Linked DNA regions of Arabidopsis thaliana. The protein of the gene in region 1 interacts with the protein of each later gene in a pairwise test. Each region holds a gene or a part of one and is shown in the gene's direction. Other genes may lie near its edges.

Region 1 (3,439 bases):
TCACAGCTTTCTTGTTTTCTCCTATTGAAGAAAATAATCATCAAAATCCCAAAACCAAGAATCAAAGAGACAAACTTTAGGATTCGAGAGAGTTAAGTATATTACTGAGATAAGCCTCTTCTCTTGTTAACAACACAAGGATAAGCTTTTGCACCAACGAGATTGTGATTAATCACACCCAATGCTCTCCTGTTCTGTCTCTTCATCTCTACACCGAATTTTCTGCTTCTCTTATCATCATCTGACAAAACCCAGAAACAAAACAACATCAGACTCTCTGTTCGTCAGACCTATAATTCTCAGATTTTTCAAAGGCGTTTTACTACTACTACCTTGAAGAATCTCTGTAATGGGTTTGACAACGAGATTACGATTGTTCTCCTCTGGATTAACCATTGTTTATTTTACTCGATTTGATAGTGCTCCTGGAGAAGAATCTAGAAGAAGAAGAAGAGCATCAAACGAAGAAGGATCTCTCTTCTCTCTGTGACTCTGTGTATACGTCTGATGCAATTGAATGAATCAGTAGGAGTCAGAGAAGGGGATGAAATAAGCGAGAGAGAGAAATTAAATCAAATCAATTAAAATTAAAGTTGCTACCTTTTTTTATTTTATTTTTTTTTATTATTGAAGGAAATAGCAACGGCTAGGTGATTAAGATGACCGTTGGATCATGAAGGAAACGATTTGTTTCTAAGTCTGTCTAAACCCAACGGTAACTTTTTTGGCCATGTGGTGTGTGTGGTGGCTCTCTCTTTCTCATTTCAAATTTATTATTCCTTTTTTGTGTTTTTTTTGTTGCCTTTTTCAGACAAAGAAGGCTCGTTACCACTAGCCAGAGCCTCCGTAAGGCGCGGCTCTAAGATCTTAAAGTCAACATATTGATTCTTTAATCTTAATCTTAGCTTATTAATCTGTGTTTTACTACAGAGCTAAGAATTGCTCTCTTTCCTAAGAATTATTGTTACCGAGAATTATGCTGACTCTGTAGTAAGTGTTCTTGCCATTTCTTTTTTTTTGGTCAAGCTTTTTAAAAATATTTAATTTAGAGAATATCAAAAATTAGGCTAGATGATTCTGGTCATAGTTATTGTAATTGAATTTCCTTAGAATGGTCAAAAGGTGATTGTGTTTCTAATTTCTTATTCAAATATGTGAAATATTTTAGATAACTTTTTATATCTGCATTTTTAGAAAACTGTTAAACGTTTAGTTAGAGTCTAGTGTGTAGATATTATTCAAAATAATATTTAAGACAGTTGCGGCTTCGCTATATCATATATCACACATCAATGGTTACATTAGTTTTTTTTGGTGTTGCAATTTGTTGTATTTGTGATTTATTACATAGCTTCAAGAGCTTCCTTCTGACATTGAAAACTATGTTTACCGGTATACATCAATGTTTAAATTTTAAATAGTAAAAACATATAGAATAAATAAAGAATGGCTAATAAAAATGATAATGTTTCCACCCAAAAAAAAAAAATGATAATGTTATTGTAATAATAAATAAAGAAAAAATATGTCAAAACAAAAGTTTACAAGTCACGTCATTGTCGGATGTCACATGCATAATAGTATTAGTGCAGTTGCAACGACTCTTGCAATCTCGATGACCAAAAACGCACGAGAAACGATTACAAACAGAAAACAAGAAAAACTCTTGAACCAACCTACCAAGTACGAATAACTTATGGGCTAGTAATGGGCTTTATACGATATTAAGCCCAAATTTACGTAATATCAGAGTTTAGGACGGACCAATCACAAACGACGGATGCAAATCTTCAAACGAAAAGGCGGGAGAGGAATTAACTGTCATAACCGCCATGGTTCAGAGAAAACTTTATATAAGGGCTAATTCAATGTCGTTTTGAAACATCAATCCCTAGACTAAAGTGCGAAAATAGTATGAGTAATCCGAACCCAGAGAAAACGAAAGTGGATGTTACTGAGGAAGAGAAAGAGGAATCTGATGAGCAATGGAGCGATGAAGAAACCAATATGAGAGAAATTGTTCTCGGCCTCCCTGCTTTGAATATCAGCAGTAGAATATTTGGAGAGAGTAGTAGTGTCGTTGAGGAAGATGCAGAAAAAGCGCGTTTGAATGAGCAAGCGGTTCTTGCGGCGGGGTTGATTTTGGCTGCGGCAGAGGAAGCGGTTATGAAAGGAATGAATGAGGGAAGTGGGAGTGGTGGGAAGAAAAAGAGTAGACCAAGGATATCTACGCAAACCGATGACGAAGGGGATGGTTTGGGTGAAGGAGAAGCGAAAAAGCCGAAGAAGAAAGCAAAGGAATTGACTCATCCACCGAAAGGACCACCGGTTTGTCATATCTGTGGAAGAGGTTTCGGTTCGTGGAAGGCAGTGTTTGGGCATATGAGGGCTCATAGAGATAGAAACTATCAAGGGTTTCTTCCTCCTCCTACATTCTCTGCGGGGGCTGAAAGGTTTGTGATTCCCGGGCTAAGATCTGCTTTTACTATTGCCACTGTCGGAGGAGGAAGTTCTGGTGGTGTAGCGGTAGGAGGAAGAAGTTCCGGTGATTTTTCTGGCAGTGGTGGTGGTGATGCGCCAGGATCTGAAGGTGGGAGAGGTTCAGGTATTGATTTGAATGTGGAACCTGTGGAGCAAGTAGAGGAAGCGACTGAATCTGGATGTATTGCCAAGTTCGATCTTAATAAATCTCCACCAAAAGATGAAGAGGAAGAGGACAAACCCAAGTGAAAGATTTTTTCATACTATTTAATAATTTACTATAACACATAGTATAGTTATTATTTTCATATTTCATATTTGATATATTTATCTAACACATTATGTTGATTCTTTGAATTAGTAATGTTTTGCAACAATGAAGAAAAGGAAGATCTTGTTAAAGGACCTAATATTAACTTTTATTTCTTAACACCATTTTAATCTGCAACAATGTGAAAAAGTACAAATAAATTTATATAAATATTCAACATCAAAATGAATAGTAAACAAAAAACATACAACTTCCAGTGCATGCAAATAATGCAGAGGAAAAATGAATGTGTAAGATCATAAAAGGAAACCTTTGTCAGGATCTAAATGATTGAAATGAAGATAATACTTTGTCCAAATCCCACTATAATTAAATCTGAAAATAGCAATTGGCAATAAAATATTCTTCTCAGAGCCATCAAATGTTCACCAATCTTTGAAAAACGACATCATTATCCTCTTTTTGTATGAAACTTTCTCAAACTTTTTACCAATATCAACTCTGTAAACATAGACTTTAAAAAAATATATATAGAATGAAAATATTTATCTAGAATTACAAAAGAAACAGTATTATACACAAAACCTTTCAAGAATTAATTCAAAGAGAATGAAACAATAAAGACTCTAAAATCATTTCATACCGCCGGAAAAAAAAGATACCAAACAACTATTTATTTTTCTACTG
Region 2 (3,951 bases), on another chromosome or scaffold:
AAATCCAATCCACACTTGACAACAAAATAACCTGATCATAGAAGAGAAAATCAAAGAGGTAAAGGGGAAATAACGAGACTATAAAATATGGGAAGAAGTTAAAGAGTAGAGCTACTCCGAATGGAAAGTGTATTAGATGTGCAGAGATTCATAGAAATGGAAGAAAAATAGAAAAAGAAAACGAAAGAGAAGAAAAGTAAAGAAGAGACAAAAGCATTGAACAACGATGCTTTTGTCTTTATTAGCCTATTAACCTAAACCCCTAGAGATTCAGACACGAACCTTATTCATCTCGAATATCTCAAACCCTAAAGACCATTAAACATCATCGCTCTCTTATCACTTTCGCATTCATCATCAACTCGTCATCATATGTATGTTTTCATTCACATGGAGTTAGTCCAGAATAATAGACTGCATGCCGTTTAACGGTCTAAACAAAGACAACTTGTAGTAACGTGTTTTCTTACAAAATGACATAGCAAAATTAGCATGCATGGCTCAGGAGTTATCACATATCGTTAAAACATTTTGGGTTTGCTTTTAGCGATTGCCATTTGTCGAGTGTCTCAAAAGATTCTTGTGGCCCGTATAATGGGCTTTAGAATATCGTTCTATAAGCCCATCAAATTAATGAACTGAGTATTATTTCCGGGAAAGAAATAACGTTTTATGCAATTACGACCCAATTAACTTTATAGTTTTTTAAAACTGATGGGGAATGACCCAATTCAATGTTTTCACCCTCTCAATTGCAGCCATTAGTTAATACTGTAGTAATGTTTAGAAACTAGTTTCAAAATTTTCGTAGAAAAATTCATGTAATATTTTTAAAAATCATTCGATGTGCTGCATGCGTATTTCCCAAAAATTAAAGTTAATATGATTTAAGATTTTGTTCACAATTACTGCCACCAGAAAAAGGACGGTGAGATTAATATTTTACAGGTGAAAAGATTTTTCCAAGACAAGGTTTAATTTGACCATGCGGACCAATTTACTTACAAGGTGTCATGGTTTACAAAAGCCCGTTAAATGAGTAAATCCTGATCTGTTTGCCACGCTGGCAAAACCTCTCGCAGAGGCCCCACCAAATACTATAAATCATTAAATCTCGTTTAAGGCCCAAAAAATGATGCAGAGTTGCGATCGTAGAGAGTAGAGAACAGGGAAGGACGAGCGGTTATGTTAATCATGACGTCATCCTCTACGATTCTCACCGGAGATATAGATGAAGAACACCGCACGTCGTCAATGGCAGAGGAAGACACGCCTACGCATTCCCATCGACGGCGCTGGAGCACTCCTGTTGATTCCGGCGGCGAACCTCTTCAAAGCTTATCCGTGAGCAGATCTCTAGAGATAAAATCAGACCACGAGAATCCCGACGACGAGTGCAGGGAACATAGAGGTGTGTGTGGAGTTATTCTTGACGAATATTTCTCGTGTTCTTCGAAAAATAACAGTTACAGTTTCTATCTAGGAGGGAAGATATCGCCGTGGGGACCGTATGGACCGCCGCTGCTGACGGAGTCGAGATCAAAGGCGCCGTCGCCGCGGAGAGGAAGAAGCGTGACGAGGAAGCGAGATCTGCCACCATTTTTGACGACACTGGATTGTAACGGACGGCCGAGATTTCATCACAGGAGAGTGAGAAGCGAAGGACGGTTAGAGATTGCCAGCGTGGCAGTAGATTCACCGGAGATCGTTAGTGTTCGTGGGAGAGAAGGACTAAGAATCGGAACAGTGAGAATCAGTCAACAAAACGACGTAGTAGAAGATGATAATGAAGATAAACAGAATCACTGATCTTCCTCTTAGAATTTTGATATTTTCAGCTAATTTTCCGGGGGGAAAAAACGACATTGTAGTCCGATGATCCGTTAGAAACAAGATAAGAAAAGGGAATTATGGGCTTTACTTATGAATATTAGGCCCATAATAATATTTTGTTGCAAAACAAACCTGGGCCTGAAGCCCAAATAATTCGCTCAAGCCGACGTGTTAATTTATGATTTGTCCGTCACAGTGATACATTAAAGCACAGGCTGTGCGGTTATCACACTGTTCGCAGGAAGACTTATTTGAGAGAGTTTTACTTTTGGGGGACACAAAGATTTGGAGAAAAAGTTTACTAAAAAAGAATCTGGGGAAGTAAGTGAGATGAAGGAAGAGGAGGAGATCGGAAAACCAGCGAAACCAAAAGCCAAGGTAGTCCCACAATGACTTACATATATTTCGCTTTCCATTTTCTAGGTTCCGTTCTTTGCGTTTTTCTTCTCTTTATTGTGTTAGATGCGAACCTTCTTATAATTCCGGTCAAAGTGCATGCGTTTTTCGTGTTCTTACTGTCTTTGGAGATCTCAGATCCCGTATTAGTAGTTACTATTGATGGAGGAAGTTATACAAGGCATAGAATTCTAGGTTATCAGTTTTGGGGTTCACGATTTTTTGGTGCTTGGAAGTAAATTGTTGGTAGTTAACTTTGAAATCTTTGGTCTTGCAAACTTTGAGTCAGTCTCGTGATGTGTCGTTGCTTTCAGTTATTGCTCTAAGAAAGCCTTGGTTCTTTTCTTTAACGCTTGCTGGAGTAGTGTCGCTCCTTATTCTTGCCTTACATTATATATTTCTTCTACGCTCACAAGTCTTGTGTGGGGTTGTTTCACTGAGACTTAATGGCAGAAAGATGTTGCTCCTGGGAGGTTGATTGATACCTATGCTGCACAGTGCGATAACTGTCACAAGTGGAGGGTGATTGATAGCCAGGAGGAATATGAAGATATCAGAAGTAAAATGCTCGAGGATCCTTTTAACTGTCAGAAGAAACAGGGCATGTCTTGTGAAGAGCCTGCTGATATTGACTACGATTCTTCTCGGACTTGGGTCATTGACAAGCCTGGTCTCCCCAAAACGCCTAAAGGTTTCAAGAGAAGCTTAGTTCTCAGAAAAGATTACTCTAAGATGGATACCTACTACTTTACTCCTACCGGGAAGAAGCTCAGGAGTCGCAATGAAATCGCTGCCTTCGTTGAAGCCAATCCGGAATTCAGGAACGCACCACTTGGAGACTTCAATTTCACTGTCCCCAAGGTCATGGAAGATACTGTTCCCCCTGATCCGAAGCTTGGCTCTCCTTTTCCAAGCACTACTACCACTACTTCAGAGAAGAGCAGTGTCAAGCAGAGCCATAACTAATATGTTCTCTTCTACCTTCTTTCTGCTCCCTAAAGCAATGCGTTTTGAGTCTTTATAGATTTGATGTTCTCTAAAACTGTTATGATATTAACATCTCTAAGCAAAAAAATATGATCTTTTGTCTCTTCTTTAACCGGAACTCAAATGTTAAATATTCTTTTAATTTGGATTCTTACACCAAAGAAACACACTTATTCCTTACAAGTCCCCTCGTAAAACATTAAGTAGAGGCTACAACTCCGGGAATTCTCTCATGGCAAATCCTCATGCACCTTATAGTGAGCGGTTCCTCTTGAAGAATACTGCACGATGTCTCACAGACTTCCTCGTTGGACATGAAGCATCCGGATATGCATTTTTTATAGGCCTCCGGTTCGGTGTAAGACAGGCATTTTCTGTTGCATTTTGTCTGCAAACCCTCATTAGCAACACCTTCTCCTCCTATGACCATCATCTCTGGTTTGGACTTGGTGCGAGGGCAAACGGCCATGCAATGTTGAAAGAGTCCTTCAAAGGGGTTGCAAAATGCCTCACAGAAGGGATTGTGTTCTTCTTCTTGTCGTCCACTTGTCTCTTTCTCTATCTCCATCATCAACAGTTCATTGCACTTATCTTCACACTCTTTCTTCTTGTTGTGGATATCATGTTTACAGTTGTGCTTGCACTGTTCCACCACCAAATCTTCTACTGCACTTGACACTGTTGCACTTTCCAACACCAGAATAGCCCAAATCAGTGAGATGACTACTACCTTTG
Region 3 (4,180 bases), on another chromosome or scaffold:
TAAACAGCGAGAACTTGCTAGGATTCAAGTGTTGGGTCTGGTTCAGATACGATGGTGTTAAACTCTGATGCACCAAGTTTGTGTTCTGTAGTTTCTGCGCCTCAACAATACGAAGCCTTTCTTGCAGAGTAGAAAGAGTCCGTTCTAAGGACTGAATCAATTGAGAGAGTTGTTGAGGAGAGTAATGATCAAAGTTTGGATACCAATTCTTCTTCAAATTCGTCTTCCCCTTGTCCTTGTCCTTCTCCTTCTCGAGGAACTCATGAAGATTGCGGCTCTTCTTGCGTTTTCTGGCCTCTTTATACCTCAAAGCCATGTCTTTCACTGTCTCTCTCTCCTTAGGCCATGTTCTCAGTTCACCGTCTGGTCCGTAATAGATGACGCAAACCTCAATAGCACAGAGAATCGAAAGCTCTTCAGCTTTCTTGAAGATGGTTTTAAGTCTATTTGTTAAACTTGTTGAATTACGTGACGAAGAAGAAGAAGAAGCTTGCTTCATCGTGACTTTGCCTTGATTCGGCAAGAAACTAGGGTTTTTTCCGAGAGAGAGAACACACGAAGAAGAAGTATTGTCGAATTGAGGGTGAAACATTGTGAACTCAATATGTTTATATAGATGCCTTGGTGCCTACGGGAACAAGCAAACGCGACGCGTCGTTGTTAATCGCGAGGCGTGAAGATCTACGCTCCTACGATTCGATTCGATTTCCAATATCTAATGTAGATTTCCTTAATTAATGTCTCGATGGTAGAGACCAAAAAAAAAGGAAACTTTTAATTAGTTTCTCGATGGTACTTTATTTTAGGCTGTACAAAATTAAGATCTAATTAAAAAAATACTATAGATTTGATTGTGTAATTATTAATTGTGCAACAAAAACTTGGAGGAAAAAGGAAAATCTGTCTCTAAGAAAAAAACTCTTAATTGTTAATTAAGGGTTTTCAAAAAATTGAAGAAAGATTTCAACTCATTTTATTTCTAGGTTTCTTCTATCTTTTTTTTTTTCTTTTTTTTTCAAATTTTTTTTTACGTTATAGTTGTTAATTAAGGGTTTTCAAAAATCTATAAATTGTTTCTCCAATCAGAATGTTGTGAAAAATAACTAACATAAAAACACTCTTCAAATAATTAAAACTAAATGTTCGAAGGGTATATATATACTCACTCTGTTTATTGCAAAATTACCACTGTAAACGCATCACAATTCATATTGTGGAAGATTAATTCTTGTTATATATGTATTAGCTAGTCAAGAAAATACACAATAATTGGGAATGTGGAAGTCGACAAATGTAGTAACCAGCTTGCCTTATTATAGACACAACAATATATATAATAGGGTACAATTAATGTCAGATTGATAACGACGATCCAATAGTGAACCACAAATCACGAATTTTCAACTCACAAATAGACTCGTTTCTTTGTTAGATGAAATGTACCAATCATATAAAACGACATTGTGATTGGCAATCACAAAGAAATATAAATTGTTTATGCCTCATTAAATATATTACTTGAATGGTAAAGTATTAAGATTTGTTTTGCGATCATGAAAGTTAACATTCTTATTTGTTGTGTATATCTCTGAACGTTCTTATTGGATTATGTTATGTGGGATCTGTTGCTGAAGTATCCCTTTAGATTCATTTCATAATCCAATTTTCTTTATTTGATAGTATATTTGATTGCAGTCAATAAATAAATAAACTCCCTATAGATTGTTTTCCATCAATTGTAAGAGTTTTTATTTCTATTTGTAACTGAGGTTTTGAGCAAAAAGTCCATGGTATAAAAAATACCCCTTAGTCAAACATGAGAGATTTCATGACGATATATAAAGCGTAAAATCGGGTAAAATATAAAGTTATAAACTAATTGTTGATCTTAGTATTAAGAATTTATTGCATTCGTTTCTTAATTTATTGCGTAAAATCGGGTTAAAATTAATCAAATGGTTGATCTCTTCAGAGCTAGGGCTTCATTTCTTACATAAACGTCGTGAAAATTTGATTATTAAAGTCCTCCAAAGATTAATAAATTAAAACAAACCAACAAGACCCCATTATAAATACACGCATAAACATTACTTTGTGTAAAAGATAACGTAGCCATTAACTTTTATGCATTAACTCCTTCATTTCTTTTTGTGCTCGTTTGGTTGAGAGAGAGAGAGGCTATATATGATGTTCCAACAAGATTACCCTCATGGCTTTTCACTCGTGGAAACATCCTTAAGTTACGAAATGTTGGATTACTTTCAAAACATCGTCGTTTCGAACTCTGAAGACGTGGCGTCACAGCAAAATTCCATTTCGTCCTCTTCTTATTCATCAGCGACACTCTCCTGCTCCATAACAGAGCAAAAATCTCACTTAACTGAAAAGTTATCTCCTCTACGAGAAAGATATGGTTGCGGTGACTTTCTGTCGCGGAAGAGGAGAAGGAGAAGTGAAAAAACGATTGTAGATAAAGAGAATCAAAGGATGAATCACATTGCCGTCGAGCGTAACCGGAGAAAACAGATGAATCATTTTCTGTCTATCCTCAAGTCTATGATGCCTCTCTCTTATTCTCAACCTGTGAGTTTCTTTCTATCTTTAATTTAGCTTATAGGATATAAGCAGGCTAAGCAATGTTGATAATTTGATATGTTCGGTTAAAATTTAGTTTAGACAAAGAGTGTTAAGGTTCCTTATTAAAAGTAAGCCGTTAATTAAATAATAGTAATTTAGTATATTTGTTTTTGAATCAATTACTAAATAAAATTGCGAATTGATAAATTTTTGGGTTTTTCCTATAATAGAATGACCAAGCATCAATCATAGAAGGGACCATTAGCTATCTGAAGAAGCTAGAACAACGTCTCCAATCTCTCGAAGCCCAATTAAAAGCTACTAAACTCAATCAATCACCAAATATATTTTCCGACTTCTTCATGTTCCCTCAATACTCCACCGCCACTGCCACTGCCACCGCCACTGCCTCCTCATCCTCCTCGAGCCACCACCATCACAAGCGACTAGAGGTGGTTGCTGACGTGGAGGTTACAATGGTAGAAAGACATGCCAACATTAAAGTGTTAACGAAGACACAGCCAAGATTGCTCTTCAAGATTATCAATGAGTTTAACTCTTTAGGTTTAAGTACTCTTCATCTCAACCTCACAACTTCCAAAGACATGTCTCTCTTCACTTTTAGCGTCAAGGTAATCTATTCTCTTCCTCTCTTGTTTTAGGGGAAAAAGATAATATATATGATTATAGAAGTTGTTAGTTAACATAAATTTATATGAAATAACTAAAATAAGGCTTCTTGTTTTAAAAGTCAACTATATATGCTCAAAATGATTGGTCTCTGTATTAGGTAGAGGCAGATTGTCAATTGACGCCTTCTGGTAATGAGGTCGCAAATACGGTGCATGAAGTCGTTAGAAGAGTTCACAAGGAACGTTGAATTTTGTTTACATACTAGCTAACTTTGAAATTCTATTTTATTGTATAAACAATCTCTTATGTGTGTAATTTACATATATACAATTAATTAACATTAAAGTTGTTTAGTTTTTTTTTTTTTTTTGTTGGTTTACTGAGTTAATAACATTGTGTTGACGTCTATTAAATTGAGGATATAAAATACAAGCATGATGAATTGATGAGTATATGTAATCAGTTGAGTTTTAAAAAAATATTTGTGTATTCTTTTATACACTAGTAAAATTTGGTTATATTCAAGAAACATCAGATATTTAATATTATGGAAGAGCTAATTTTAAGCGCAATATAATAAGATTCACACGATGGGCCTTCTCATTACAAGAAATGGGCCTTTGAAACATATCTCGTATTTAGATCAGTAAAACCGGACGCGGATGCGATTCAATTTTGCATAACCGGATCATTGTTCCTCGAGATTACTGAAAGCTCGTGTAGATTACGAAATACGAACGAGCCTCGTCTACAATTAAACGCTAGTATCGGTGACCGAAACATCTGAAAAAGCATGCCTTCATTGAGCGGCCCAACTTACAAAATTTCTCTAGTTTACATTATTCGGATGGGGTAAATGTCATTTTGAAATCAAAATTTCATAAGAAATCATGTAGCATAATAGTTTGATAAAAGTTTATGGTAGTGTTGTTGATGTGTGATATTATGGTTTAAATTTGACACATGTTTT

The links.
Region 2: the proteins of AT4G35610 (region 1) and MBD4 interact in a two-hybrid assay, tested with the Arabidopsis thaliana proteins (one large-scale study listed by BioGRID).
Region 3: the proteins of AT4G35610 (region 1) and AT5G65320 interact in a two-hybrid assay, tested with the Arabidopsis thaliana proteins (one large-scale study listed by BioGRID).

The regions. Positions count from the first base shown.
Region 1 is NC_003075.7:16,898,701-16,902,139, reverse strand, and holds AT4G35610 (zinc finger (C2H2 type) family protein), read left to right. Parts: upstream 1-1,871; 5' UTR 1,872-1,914; coding exon 1,915-2,730; 3' UTR 2,731-2,884; downstream 2,885-3,439. Other genes in the region: CYCB2;2 (Cyclin B2;2), read right to left, coding at 1-21, 106-241, 333-396; CST (Protein kinase superfamily protein), read right to left, coding at 3,426-3,439.
Region 2 is NC_003074.8:23,293,231-23,297,181, forward strand, and holds MBD4 (methyl-CPG-binding domain 4), read left to right. Parts: upstream 1-2,054; 5' UTR 2,055-2,163; coding exon 2,164-2,211; intron 2,212-2,682; coding exon 2,683-3,195; 3' UTR 3,196-3,396; downstream 3,397-3,951. Other genes in the region: AT3G63020 (hypothetical protein (DUF3049)), read left to right, coding at 1,195-1,809; AT3G63040 (uncharacterized protein), read right to left, coding at 3,416-3,951. UniProt on the Arabidopsis thaliana protein: Transcriptional regulator that binds CpG, CpNpN and CpNpG (N is A, T, or C) islands in promoters regardless the DNA methylation status. Plays probably a role in gene silencing.
Region 3 is NC_003076.8:26,106,645-26,110,824, reverse strand, and holds AT5G65320 (basic helix-loop-helix (bHLH) DNA-binding superfamily protein), read left to right. Parts: upstream 1-2,098; 5' UTR 2,099-2,184; coding exon 2,185-2,583; intron 2,584-2,807; coding exon 2,808-3,209; coding exon of another isoform or gene 3,210-3,239; exon of another isoform or gene 3,240-3,247; intron 3,248-3,367; coding exon 3,368-3,457; 3' UTR 3,458-3,656; downstream 3,657-4,180. Other genes in the region: AGL78 (AGAMOUS-like 78), read right to left, coding at 1-499.